Coturnix japonica: one gene and its partners. The protein of the gene in region 3 interacts with the protein of the main gene of each other region in a pairwise test. Links are inferred from orthologs where the notes say so. Each region holds a gene or a part of one and is shown on either strand. Other genes may lie near its edges. The genes, in order: transcription elongation factor A protein 2-like, C14H7orf50 and THAP1.

What was found.
Region 1: the proteins of THAP1 (region 3) and transcription elongation factor A protein 2-like interact in binary tests that used the Homo sapiens proteins (3 or more experiments, as listed by UniProt). The two-hybrid records come from large-scale screens. The link is inferred for Coturnix japonica from reciprocal best matches to the Homo sapiens genes THAP1 and TCEA2.
Region 2: the proteins of THAP1 (region 3) and C14H7orf50 interact in binary tests that used the Homo sapiens proteins (3 or more experiments, as listed by UniProt). The two-hybrid records come from large-scale screens. The link is inferred for Coturnix japonica from reciprocal best matches to the Homo sapiens genes THAP1 and CHLSN.

The regions. Positions count from the first base shown.
Region 1 is NC_029535.1:8,417,571-8,421,221, forward strand, and holds part of transcription elongation factor A protein 2-like, read right to left. Parts: intron 3,396-3,651; coding exon 3,290-3,395; intron 2,267-3,289; coding exon 2,176-2,266; intron 1-2,175. UniProt on the Homo sapiens protein: Necessary for efficient RNA polymerase II transcription elongation past template-encoded arresting sites.
Region 2 is NC_029529.1:2,396,155-2,399,805, reverse strand, and holds part of C14H7orf50 (uncharacterized protein C7orf50 homolog), read left to right. Parts: intron 1-539; coding exon 540-715; intron 716-3,651. UniProt on the Homo sapiens protein: Hormone secreted from the intestine in response to cholesterol, where it acts to inhibit cholesterol synthesis in the liver and VLDL secretion,leading to a reduction in circulating cholesterol levels. Acts through binding to its receptor, GPR146.
Region 3 is NC_029547.1:47,539,654-47,543,318, reverse strand, and holds the start of THAP1 (THAP domain-containing protein 1), read left to right. Parts: upstream 1-762; 5' UTR 763-803; coding exon 804-874; intron 875-1,064; coding exon 1,065-1,260; intron 1,261-3,665. UniProt on the Homo sapiens protein: DNA-binding transcription regulator that regulates endothelial cell proliferation and G1/S cell-cycle progression.

The DNA of each region.
Region 1 (3,651 bases), on a different chromosome or scaffold from region 3:
AGCACTTCCACTGCACTGCCAGGGAAGGGATTAGTTAGCCCACAGCAGGGCAGAGCTGAGCTGGAAGCCTTCTGAACCCACAGCTGCGTGCACAGAGCCAGACAGCCTCAGGAACTGAGCACAGGGATCCCACTGCTGCCAAGTCAAAATCCTGTCTGGCTCTGCAGTGCCTCGAAGCCCTCAGATCATCATCAGAGCTGCTGGATTGCCACAGCTCAGAACCTCACTGGGCCCTATTCAGAAGGGCCCACCATGTACCTTCAGCATGCTGTTCGAGTCAAAGCAGAGCTGGAAGATTCATTTCTCTCTCAGATGAAATAAAAGCACTTTGAACATTCTATTGTCAGCTCACTTACACTCTTACCCAGTGAATACAGACTTGTTGCTAGCTAGTTTTACCGGTCAGCACTGCAACAAGCTCCTAAGAAACACATTTATTAGGTGTCCAAAGAGCTAAAAATACTCAACAGAATTTACACTGCATATAGAATCATAATATATGACAAGAGAAAAAACAACTGATCACTCCTGAGTTAGACCAAACAGGCTCCTGAGCTGTTCCAAAAGCTGGACAGAGAGCTATTTATTAAGCTTCAAAAGTTAGTTTATAATTAGAATAGTGGGAAATAGACCTCAAACACACCTAGAAGACTTATTTCAGGAAATCCTTGCGGTTCACACTGTTCCTGTTGAACAGGAGAAGGAGCTTGTAAATCTATCCAGACAACAAAAGTTCATGCACATACAAAAAACAAACATCTATGCTAAAACCAAATGGTGCAAAGCAACAGCCAGGGATTATAAACATAACTCAGGGCTGAACTGGAAGAAAAAAATCTCACGGAAGAGCTGAATTAAGGCCACAGATCCAAAACTTCCCAATAAAAGCTTCAGAGAGGCCCAGAAAAAGCTGCCAGAAAAACATTAGACATTGTCCATTAAGATGTACTACTGTAATGGCTGAACGTACTACAGCACAGGGGATTACAGTAATACAGCAATCATGCAGGTGCCAGCCCCATGCTGGCTGGCTCAGAGCCTGCAGGTCTATAGCAGCATTAGCTCTCCAGTCACTACAGAGGGATTGCTACATCTGTACTCCAGAAAGTAAGAGAAACTGCAAGCCAAGAGCTATTTGGGCTTTTCTCCCTGACAGAAGAGGAAGGTGTAGCCAAAATCTATCAAAATAAGTGGCTGAAGTATCTGAATACAAGCTGATCTCTCTGGTGCTTTGATAGCAGCCTCATCTGAACCTGCATGCATGCACTGAGAAGCAAGTCAGGCTCCTTTCATCACAGCCTACACTTCAAAAAGCAAAGCCAAGAACTCCTTGCTGCTAATATATATGTATTTTTTCCTCCAAGGCAGATTAACAGTTCATTTTGCAGCACAGGAGAATAAGCACTGCACTCTGCACAGCACCTGGCTCAGCCTGACATCAGGAGCTCACCACTATGTTGGATCTGTGCTAAGCTCCTCCCTTTGCTTCTGTTTATCCTTCACCAACCAAGGGGATGCTTTGCCATTCAAAAGGCTGGTGGAGGAACATACAACAAGGATCAAGGGAAAAACCAGCAGTAGCTGCAGCATACCCTCAAGGCACAGTGTAAGGGTAGCAGTACAAACCAGGAGGCCCCATTCCACACATCCTATGACAACCATCTGCCCAAGAAAGAAGGGGAGGGTTGTCTCACTACCTACAGCCAAGATCCCATTGAAGTTTCCCTTTTTCTTTCAACTGCAGTACTGCTTCCTGAATTAAACAGACAACTCTGTAATACTTGTCAGCTGGGCCTGTTGGGGAAGGGGAAAGGCAAGTGCTTCCACCTGAGCTCCTGGCCTTACACAGAAGAGCCAGCTGCCTCCCTTTAGCTGTATGGGGATGCTCAAAAGCTCTTACCTCAACCACTAACTCAGTTCCTAACCCTGCTAAAACTACAACAGATCTTTCACCTGTCCACACCCTGGAGAAGGGAATACCTGTCTGCATAACAGTTCGGTATTAAACACACCACACAGCTCACCTCTGAGGAAGCCTAGACTCCTAGTGAGCCTTGACCAGGAGTTTATGCACACAAAAATCCCCAGATACTTAAAAGTGAAAATTCAAGTAAGATGCTAAGAAAATATTCAAATTAGATAACAGTATCATCCCCAACTAAAGGGAAGCATTACCTTTGGTCTCTTGAGTTACCAGTTTCCTTTGAGGAAGATGTTGGCAAGGACAGGTTTTTCTTCTTCTCCTCACTTTTTTCCTCTGAAGCATCTAAATTTGGACAAAAAGAAAAAGCAAACTTGGATGCATCACTGTTCAGAACTGCTCTGTATGCTGCAACCCTGCATATACTAAGCAATGACTTCACAGAGTTGGCCCAAGGCAAATTGATCTACAAAAAGAATTTTAAAATGACGAAGAAAGCTTTTATAGCCTTGCATGCAGACCTCTTCCTTGCCTTTAAGAAGCTAACTTAAACAAAACCTTTCCCTACTGAACCAGAAAGCAGGGATCAGTCACCTTCCCTCCACAACAGATAAGCTTCCTCACAAGACCTGACTCATCACAAAAGTTCCTTTCAAAGAACCTGAGTGCCCAGTACAGATTAGATGAAGTTCTCTCAAGTGTCACCACATGCAGTATTTCAAGCCAACATCATCTGAAGGGCCACTAAGGGCTGGTCCTTCTGGGAGTCTTGCACTTCCGAAGTGCTGCTGAAAGCCAAGAGCACAGCCCTGAAGATGACTCTCATTACACTGTAGAACTAGTTTCATCCAGAGGCAAACTGTCTGAGCCAAGCCAACACGCATCAGCTCTGATGTGGAAAGGCCAGTTGCCGCTTCTGCTCAGTGCCAACCACCATGAAAGCCCCTCCAGCAGAAAACAATGTGAATTTGTCTGCAAGTTGTTAAACTGAGATCCTTCTCCAAGTCATCACCCAAAATCCATTCCAGTATTTCTCTTTCTAAGCTGAGGTACGAGGCTGACAGCACATGCTGTATGAATGCCACCTAGCACACAAGTCAGGTTAAGAGTACAGATATTGTTTCTATAACTAATGTTGCATTATCATATTAGAATAGTTCTGAAGCTTTTCCAGCTAACTAGCTATTGGGTTGACAACAGGATCTCAAACAACCAGTTTGCATGGCAGTAGATGAAACCCAATGCAATTGTCAAGGTTGGTTTGCTATAATGTTCTATATGGATGCACAAGTCCTCCTGATAAAACCAGCCTCCCACTGAAACCAGCACCTTCATAAGTGGAATCTGATAGGAAAGTGATTTTCTTACCTAGAAGTTTTTTCCAAGATTTGATGAGTGATTTGGCAAGAGCTATTACCTCTTCATCTGTGCTCTGCTTCCTCAGTGCATTCACTGACATACCAATGCGGGTGGACTGCAAGTGAACATGCACGTGAATTATTCAAGAACAGATACGTTATTTGTTACCAGCTGAAATCAGAAATAAGCAAAGTCAAAATAATGACGACGACACACAATATCCATGGGTTCCCAGAGCAATCTGCTCTTTTCAACCCCAAAAGCAAGGGATGGCAGTGCCCAGATTGCTGGGACTGATCACAAACCAGGCATCCCATCATTCCCAAACACCTCCTCTACATGTCTTAGTCATTTAAGTTTAGAGTGAAAGA
Region 2 (3,651 bases), on a different chromosome or scaffold from region 3:
GGGAAGAAGATGGTAGACGTCACATCTTCCCTTCTGACAAAGGGGAACTCAGGCCCATGATTGGAAGGCAGAGGTTTTCTCAGTCCAGGACAGTGTGATCTTACAGTCCCAGTCCTAAAGGAATGTTATTCCCATATACATGTGTATGTGCTAAAAAATTCCATACCCTCCCTCCACTGTGAGCAGCCTCTGCTGCTCATATCCCTTCTTATTACAAGAGCACAAACAGCACAATAAATCTTGGAAATATGTTTAGTACCGAGCAAAGGAAGTGCTTGCTTTGATTGCTGTACTGCTGAGATGGGTGTTCTCAACTATAGAGGACAGAAAAGGCCTCTGCAGACTTCTGCAAGAGCAGCATTTACAGTTCTGTGAGCTGAACAGTGTAGAAGCTTCACATTGGTGTATGGTAAAATTATGAAGCCTGAAGCTGCTGGGTTAAAATATTAACTGTGCCCTCCCTTCAGTTGCATTTATGAATGTTTTGTTCACCTTGTTATAGAAACAGAATCACTTGATTTAAATGTTTATTGTTTCAGGCAGCAGATGAAGAGGAAGATCTTAGCCCAGAGGAAAGGAGGAAATTGGAAAGAAAATTTAAAAAAGAATGCAAGAAAGAAGAAAAAAAGCTGATGAGAGAAGCCGGAATCTCTACTAAGAAAGCAGAACCCAAGAAGCTGTCAGGATCTGAACTGGCTCTGGCCTATTTAACCAGGTAATGCTGCGAGCAGCACTGCAGGTGCTCTGTGCAGAAGCAAACTATAAACCATGCCAGGAATCCTGAACAAGCTGAACCAAGAAATAAAGTGTTAGAGGAAAGTGGTGCAGTTAAGTAATAAGCTAAAGCTTCATTCCAGTTGACACCCTTTCACCTCATTTTATGTATAGCACAGTAACAACTGAAGAATGTTGAGTACGGCACAAACATTTTATAGACAGACAGCTCCTGTCCCAGAGATCCTGTACCTGATATATAAATATCCCTGGATTAGCTGCACTCACAGAGATGAAGGGCATATTATAGAAAAGGTTGCATTGAGGTTGAACTAGTTTTATGTGCGCTGTTTTAAACAAAGGAGATTTGGGTGTTCTCTCTATGTAAGCATATTGCATTATAGAGTCCTCACTTAACCTAATGCATGATATTTGGATATTTGTAAAGTAAGACACAATTATGCCACCATTTTAAAGTGAATAGTTTATGGTGCCTTAATTCTGCATACCAAAGTATACAGGGAGTCCAGTGGCCTATTTCGGATCGGAAGCAATTACTTTAGCTAGCATACTGATTTAGAATACTTTGAATTCCAACATAAAGCAACATCTATGTTTAAAATAGCTGAAACAAAGCATTCATGGTACGCTGCAGACAGTAAGAGGTCATGTATAAGCAGGAAAGTAGTATTTATTTTTTCCCTGAACTACAGAATAGACCCTGTCTCTAAAACCTGCAGAGGGCTGGCGTGATACCAGCAGTGGGTTACCACGGGGAATCATTCCATCGCTGCATCTCTGGCCACGCTTAAAACTGAAGCATGCAGACTGTCTGAGTTGTTACTTACCACTCTCAGTGGGGAGGGAGGAAATTAATTGCATTCCAGGCAGAGGGACATGTGCTGCATTTTTGTTACATAACCCTCAGCACGCAGAGATAGCAAAACGACAATAATAGTTTTGATCTGGAAAACAGCTGGAATGGTTCACCACTGTTTTGAACTGCAGATGGATTGACAGTTATCTTTGAACCATCTGCTCCAACTCTACTCTGGTATGTGTGCGAGTAAGTGGCGGATCTAGAGATAATGGTTTTCAGGTTTGGAAGGCAAAGGAGCAAGCTGTGGGCTTTTGGGTTGATATTCTGCTTCTATCTGTATGGATTTGTGCCTTGTTAGATGAGAGAGTATGAAACTATATTTGAACTAATTTGACTGCAGTGTTTCACTTAACCTGCACCAAATGACCTCGAGCAGTATGCTGGCAACACAGCATGGGCTTGTAATAGCAGAGCCCCACAGCTCTGGGTATGGCAGCACGTTGTCTGGGGTTATGTCAGCAACAGATGGTTTGAATTTTGTACGCTTACCAGGGATAGCAGTAAGATGCTGAACTGCCAAATGAACGTAACCGTAGGGTGTGTTCTGCCCTGTGTGTCCTGTGACTTCCTTGTGTCCTTGGAGCCCACTGTAAAAGCCCTGACTCCTTCAGTGGGTCAGGGATTTCAGTCTGTTTGGTTTTGTGGGGCTGCAGGTGTGAATGACACATGGAGCTCATCCTACAGATGCGGGACCGCAGTGCAATGGGAGGTAAACAAAAGGCTGCTGTGGATTTATGGTTTGCCCCACCTACAGCAGAAAACCTGACATTAAATAACGCTAAGTGAGGTGGCATTTTAATTCCCCGATGACAAGTGAATCTCCTGCACTACAGGTGGAACTTGAAGTACCATATAATAATTAAGGCAGCCATTTTTATTAGTTAAGAGACTGACTGTTCACAGCACGAGAGCACAACTGAGGCTTCAGCTTTATCGGGAATTTGTTTCAGTTTTGATAACCTTCGAAGGAAAATGGGAACAGTAATTCACTGGAAGAGTTCTACTGCAAGTAGACTTTCGACATGCAAGGGAAAATCCAGCTTGTTTTGTAGGTCAGACATTTATTCAGAGGTGATGCTTCTCAGAGTGCACGGACATCTTTTCTGCTCTGTGGGATGAAATGAAGAGGAATTCTCCTCTTGAAAAGGAGGAAAGAAAAGGAGGAATTATGCTTGGAAAAGGTAACAGTGGTGCTGAACAGGAGGAAGGGAACAGTGAAGCAGGAGGGAAGAGCTGGGTGCTGGTGGTTGTACAGGGCTTTTCCTCTTAACAGTGACGTTCCTCTTTTCTTTTAGGATGATTCACTTCTAAATGCAAGGTCAGAATGCCTCCTTTCTTTGATTCTTAGAAAATAGGAAATAAGTGTCATACCTTTTAAAGCAATAAGTGCCTTCAAATGAAAAGATGTTGCAATTCATGAGAATTCTAATTAGATGTAATTATAACCCAACTGACCTTCCGTGGTGCTAAAATGTTGGCAGAACTTGTTTGCCTCGGCAAGTCACTCTCCTCTAGAAATGTTTCTGTTCCCATGCTTAGCTCAGCAAGCTGTTGCTATATGGATCTGCACGTATGGATTTCTGCATCACCCACCATAGGAATAGAAATGAGAATAGGTGTCACCTGAAGCACGTGGAAGCTGATATCTTTTGTAGAAGGATCAGATAACAGCACTGTATGGATATTGCTGTGAATTACCTGAGCCTTACAATGTTATCTACCAGATACTTACACTGGAAAAATAAGCTGCTGAAGTGTGTTTCTTTTCTCTCTGTCATGATTTATATGCTACCAGCACTGAGTGTCACCGGGGTGTTTCCCAGGGCATCGTGTTTTCAGTTTCCTATGCAGAGGCTGCTTTTGTATTGCTGCCTTAAATTTAGGTGAGAATGTCAGAGACACCCTCAGAAAATAAGAAAGTAAGTGAAAATAAGATGCTTACCACAATGATATAAAGCAAGGGCACGTTTCAGAGCACAGAAATAAGACAGTTTGGCACTGGGTGGGGAAATGGTGTGGCTGCAGGACGTGGCACTGTGCAGGAGTGCCGTGCTGCA
Region 3 (3,665 bases):
GCCTCCCCCGAGCTCCCCGCCGCCGGCCCCCGGCTCAGAGGGGCTGCGCGGGGCTCCGCGAGGGGCCGCGCTCCGAATTCGGCGCTCGCTTATAGACCGGCTTATTGCCCTTCTCTCCATCCTGTGTCTCTGAGGGGTTCCGGACCCCATCCTGGAGCTGCTTCGCGCGGCTCCTGCCCTTTGCTCCCGCTGTGGGTGCGCCATAGGGCGCTGCCCGCACCCCTGCTCCCGACACCAGCGCCCGCTGCCCGCCCCGCACGGGACAGCGAGATCGGGACATGGGGCGCTCCGGGGGAACGGCCCGCTGCTGTTAGTCGCTGGTGTAATACAGGGAATGGTACGGCGGAGCGCACTCCGCGTTAACTTTTTGTACTCCATCGCGTCGGTGTATTGTTAGCTCACCCTAACACCTCAGCAGGGCCCAGCAGCCCACACACACCCGCACCCCATCCCGCCCTGGGGGCGCTCTGCCGCCGCGCCGCAGCTGCCCCTGAGGTAGTTCCGGAGCGAGGGGCGGGAGCAAGGCAGAGCGCCGCTCCGATTGGACGATCTGCTTCCCGAGGCCCCGCCCCCCATGAGAGGACCCACCAATGGGCAAGGGCGGCGCGCCGTAGCACCGCGAGAGTTGCTCTGAAGCTGGTGCCGCCATCTTGGAGTTGGGAGAGGCCGCGTCCCGTTGCCGTCCCTCTCGGAGGGTCACCGGCGGGGGGGGACGGGGCACGATGGCGGCCCCACGGTGAGCGGACGGCACCTGGGAGCCCCTCCTCGCGCCGCTGGGCGGCGGCGGCCGCGGGGCCGGCGGGATGGTGCAGTCGTGTTCTGCCTACCGCTGCCGGAACCGATACGACAAAGAGAAGCCCATCTCCTTCCACAAGTGAGCGCGGGCGGCGGGACGGGGTGGGGCGGGGCGGGGCGGGGCGGGCAGGGCGCCAGGGCGGGGACAGGGCCGCGGGTGTGCGACCTCCCGACGCAAGGGGGCGCTGGGCGGCGGGAGAGGGGCTGGGATGGTGGGCCCGGCGTGAATAAAGAGTTTGAGAAACGCTGAAAATAGCTGTTGTTGTCAGGTTTCCTTTGACCAGGCCTGACCTGTGCAAGAAATGGGAGGCGGCGGTGAAAAGGAAAAACTTCAAACCCACCAAGTACAGCAGCATCTGCTCCGAGCACTTCACGCCCGACTGCTTCAAGCGGGAGTGCAACAACAAGCTGCTGAAAGAAAATGCTGTGCCCACTATATTCTGTTACACTGAGCCCAGTGAAAAGGTAAGCGCACACTGCTCACAGCCCCAGGTGCCGAAATGCACTGTGCAGCTTCTCCTGTCATTAAGGCCATTTGTCATCACTGCAGTTGTGTTACTGGTGCTGTCCTGTTGTAACAACTGCAGGCTGACATTTGTATCTGGGTGTTAACTGCACTGGGTAGGGCTTTGATTGTTCACAATCAGACCATCCCAAAAATATGACAGATAATACAAGGCCCTGGGACTTTTCAGGACTGATGGCCCATTCTTTCTCCTGTAAATCAGAAGACAGTGCTTGCTGTGTTCTTTATTGCAGATAGAGTTGCAGAGGCTAGTATTAAATCATCAGCATAATGTTATAGCTTCACATCAGGTGTCTTGTTCTAGTTAGCCAGGTCCAGAGCTATTAAGTCATGGCTACAGGTAGGACTATCCAGATGCCCCTGTGAAAGAACCCAAAAAGTCCAGCCTCCTACAAAATAGCATTAACTGCAAAATTGTGTTATAATTCAGAGCACCATCTGCTAGCCACTTTTCTTGATCTTCCAGAGTATGTGTTGGCCACCACTGACAATATATAAAACTAGTGCCTGTCTGTTGAATATTGAACATATTTAGGCAGTTTACTTGTGTTCCAGAGCTAACATAAACCCTTTCTCATGCTCAGGGCATCATCTGTATTTTTCCACACAGTATACAATGTTCGATTTAATGCAGAAATAAAGAAGGAACATCTAGAAAATGAAAAGTGGAAATAATAGGCAAGAGACCATACATAGCACAAGGTATAAAGTGAAATGTGGACCATTTTCAGGTCTGCTTTTTGTGCTAAGATCTGTTTGATGACGGTTCCCCACAATCTTAGCAACATATTTCCTATGTCACTTAAAATTGTTTGCAAAACTTATTGCAGTGTGAAAGCTGAAGGTATTTAATATTGACATCAATGCAGTAGTTCTGAGCCACATTCTCTCATTCATTGCAGTACCTGGCTTTATGAGTGCACAGAACAGTGGCTCCTTATGGAAAAGGAGTTGGTGGTGCTACTATTTATGTCACAGCAGCTTTCAGTGTATCTTCAAGACATTGAATAGTAGTGAATAAGGACAGCATTTTTTTTAAATTCATACTGATTTTGAGATACAGCATTTTTTGCATCATAATTCTTGAAATACTTTTTTAGCTATGTCTGACAACCATTTACTGGATGTAAGAAGGAATAAGAACTCACTTGTGACGTGTGAGCAGTATGAACGATGAGCTCTCTGTGACACACAGTGACAGCAGTAACACAGCATGTGCTGCGTAGCTCTTGAATACATGCCTCTGTCTGAATGCAGCTGTCTGGCAACAATGCCATTTTTGCTCGTGCTTCTAACATGGGCAGAATTCTCTCTGCACATTATGTCTTTGGTTTGTCATCTTAGCTGAAAAGTTTGAAAGCTGTAGGTCAGACATTTTAGAATATTGGTATGTGATTTAGATGGACACACCTGGAGCATCCACTTCTTATAACTGAGAACTGACACAGGCAGTGGGCTGGTTTTGTACTTTAAAGTGATCAGTAATACCTGAGCAATGTGAAACTTCCCCTCAGTACCAGAAGTGGAACTGTGTTCTCAGTTCCTGTGCCTAATGTAGTTTGTACAAGGATGACATCTGTACTTCCCAATCTGACTGTTGACTTGTTCTTTATGTTAAGGCAAGAAGCTTAATAATGTGATCTTCCAGTCTCAAGAGGGGACAGTTGGTGGCTGTTAAAATTGAAGATGCGATCATCTTCATGCTTTTATTTGTAGTAATAATGTTGGGGACAGGGAATTAAAAAATCGGTTTCAGTGTCTCTTTCACTGAGACATTCTTAGGCTTTTGGGTTTTTTTTGGTTTTTTTTTTGTTTTTTTTTTTTTAAACGGGTAGTATACATTATGTGTGCATTTCTGAATAAAGTATGTTCCTCTGGGGCAGAATAATCAGAATTCTCTTTGACCTCCTCCCAAGTGATGACAGGTATGCATTGTTCTGAACCGTGCAAGTGTCTGAACCTATCTGGAGCAGTATGGTGAAGCCTGCAGTATGATGTGGGAATGAGCTCGCTTAGTGTTCTGCTCTATCCCATCTGCCAGCCACCCAGTCCTATTTTCTTACTCCTTCCATATGACAGCTCTCACTGCATGGCTTTGACTTTAATGCAGGACAGAACTTTATTGCAGCGATGGTGGAAGTGTGAATAGCTTTCTGTCATCTTAGCAACATCCTGTATTTAGGGAAGGATTCATAACAGAGCTGGGAGAGCTGTTTATTTTGGCTCATCACATCACCAAACCCTTCTGCTGCGATCCCAAAACAATGTGATGGTCAGTCCTAGTTGTGAAGAGCCAGATCTTCCTGTGTCTACTTTCTCTGCTCTGCCAGCTTGTCCATCTCCC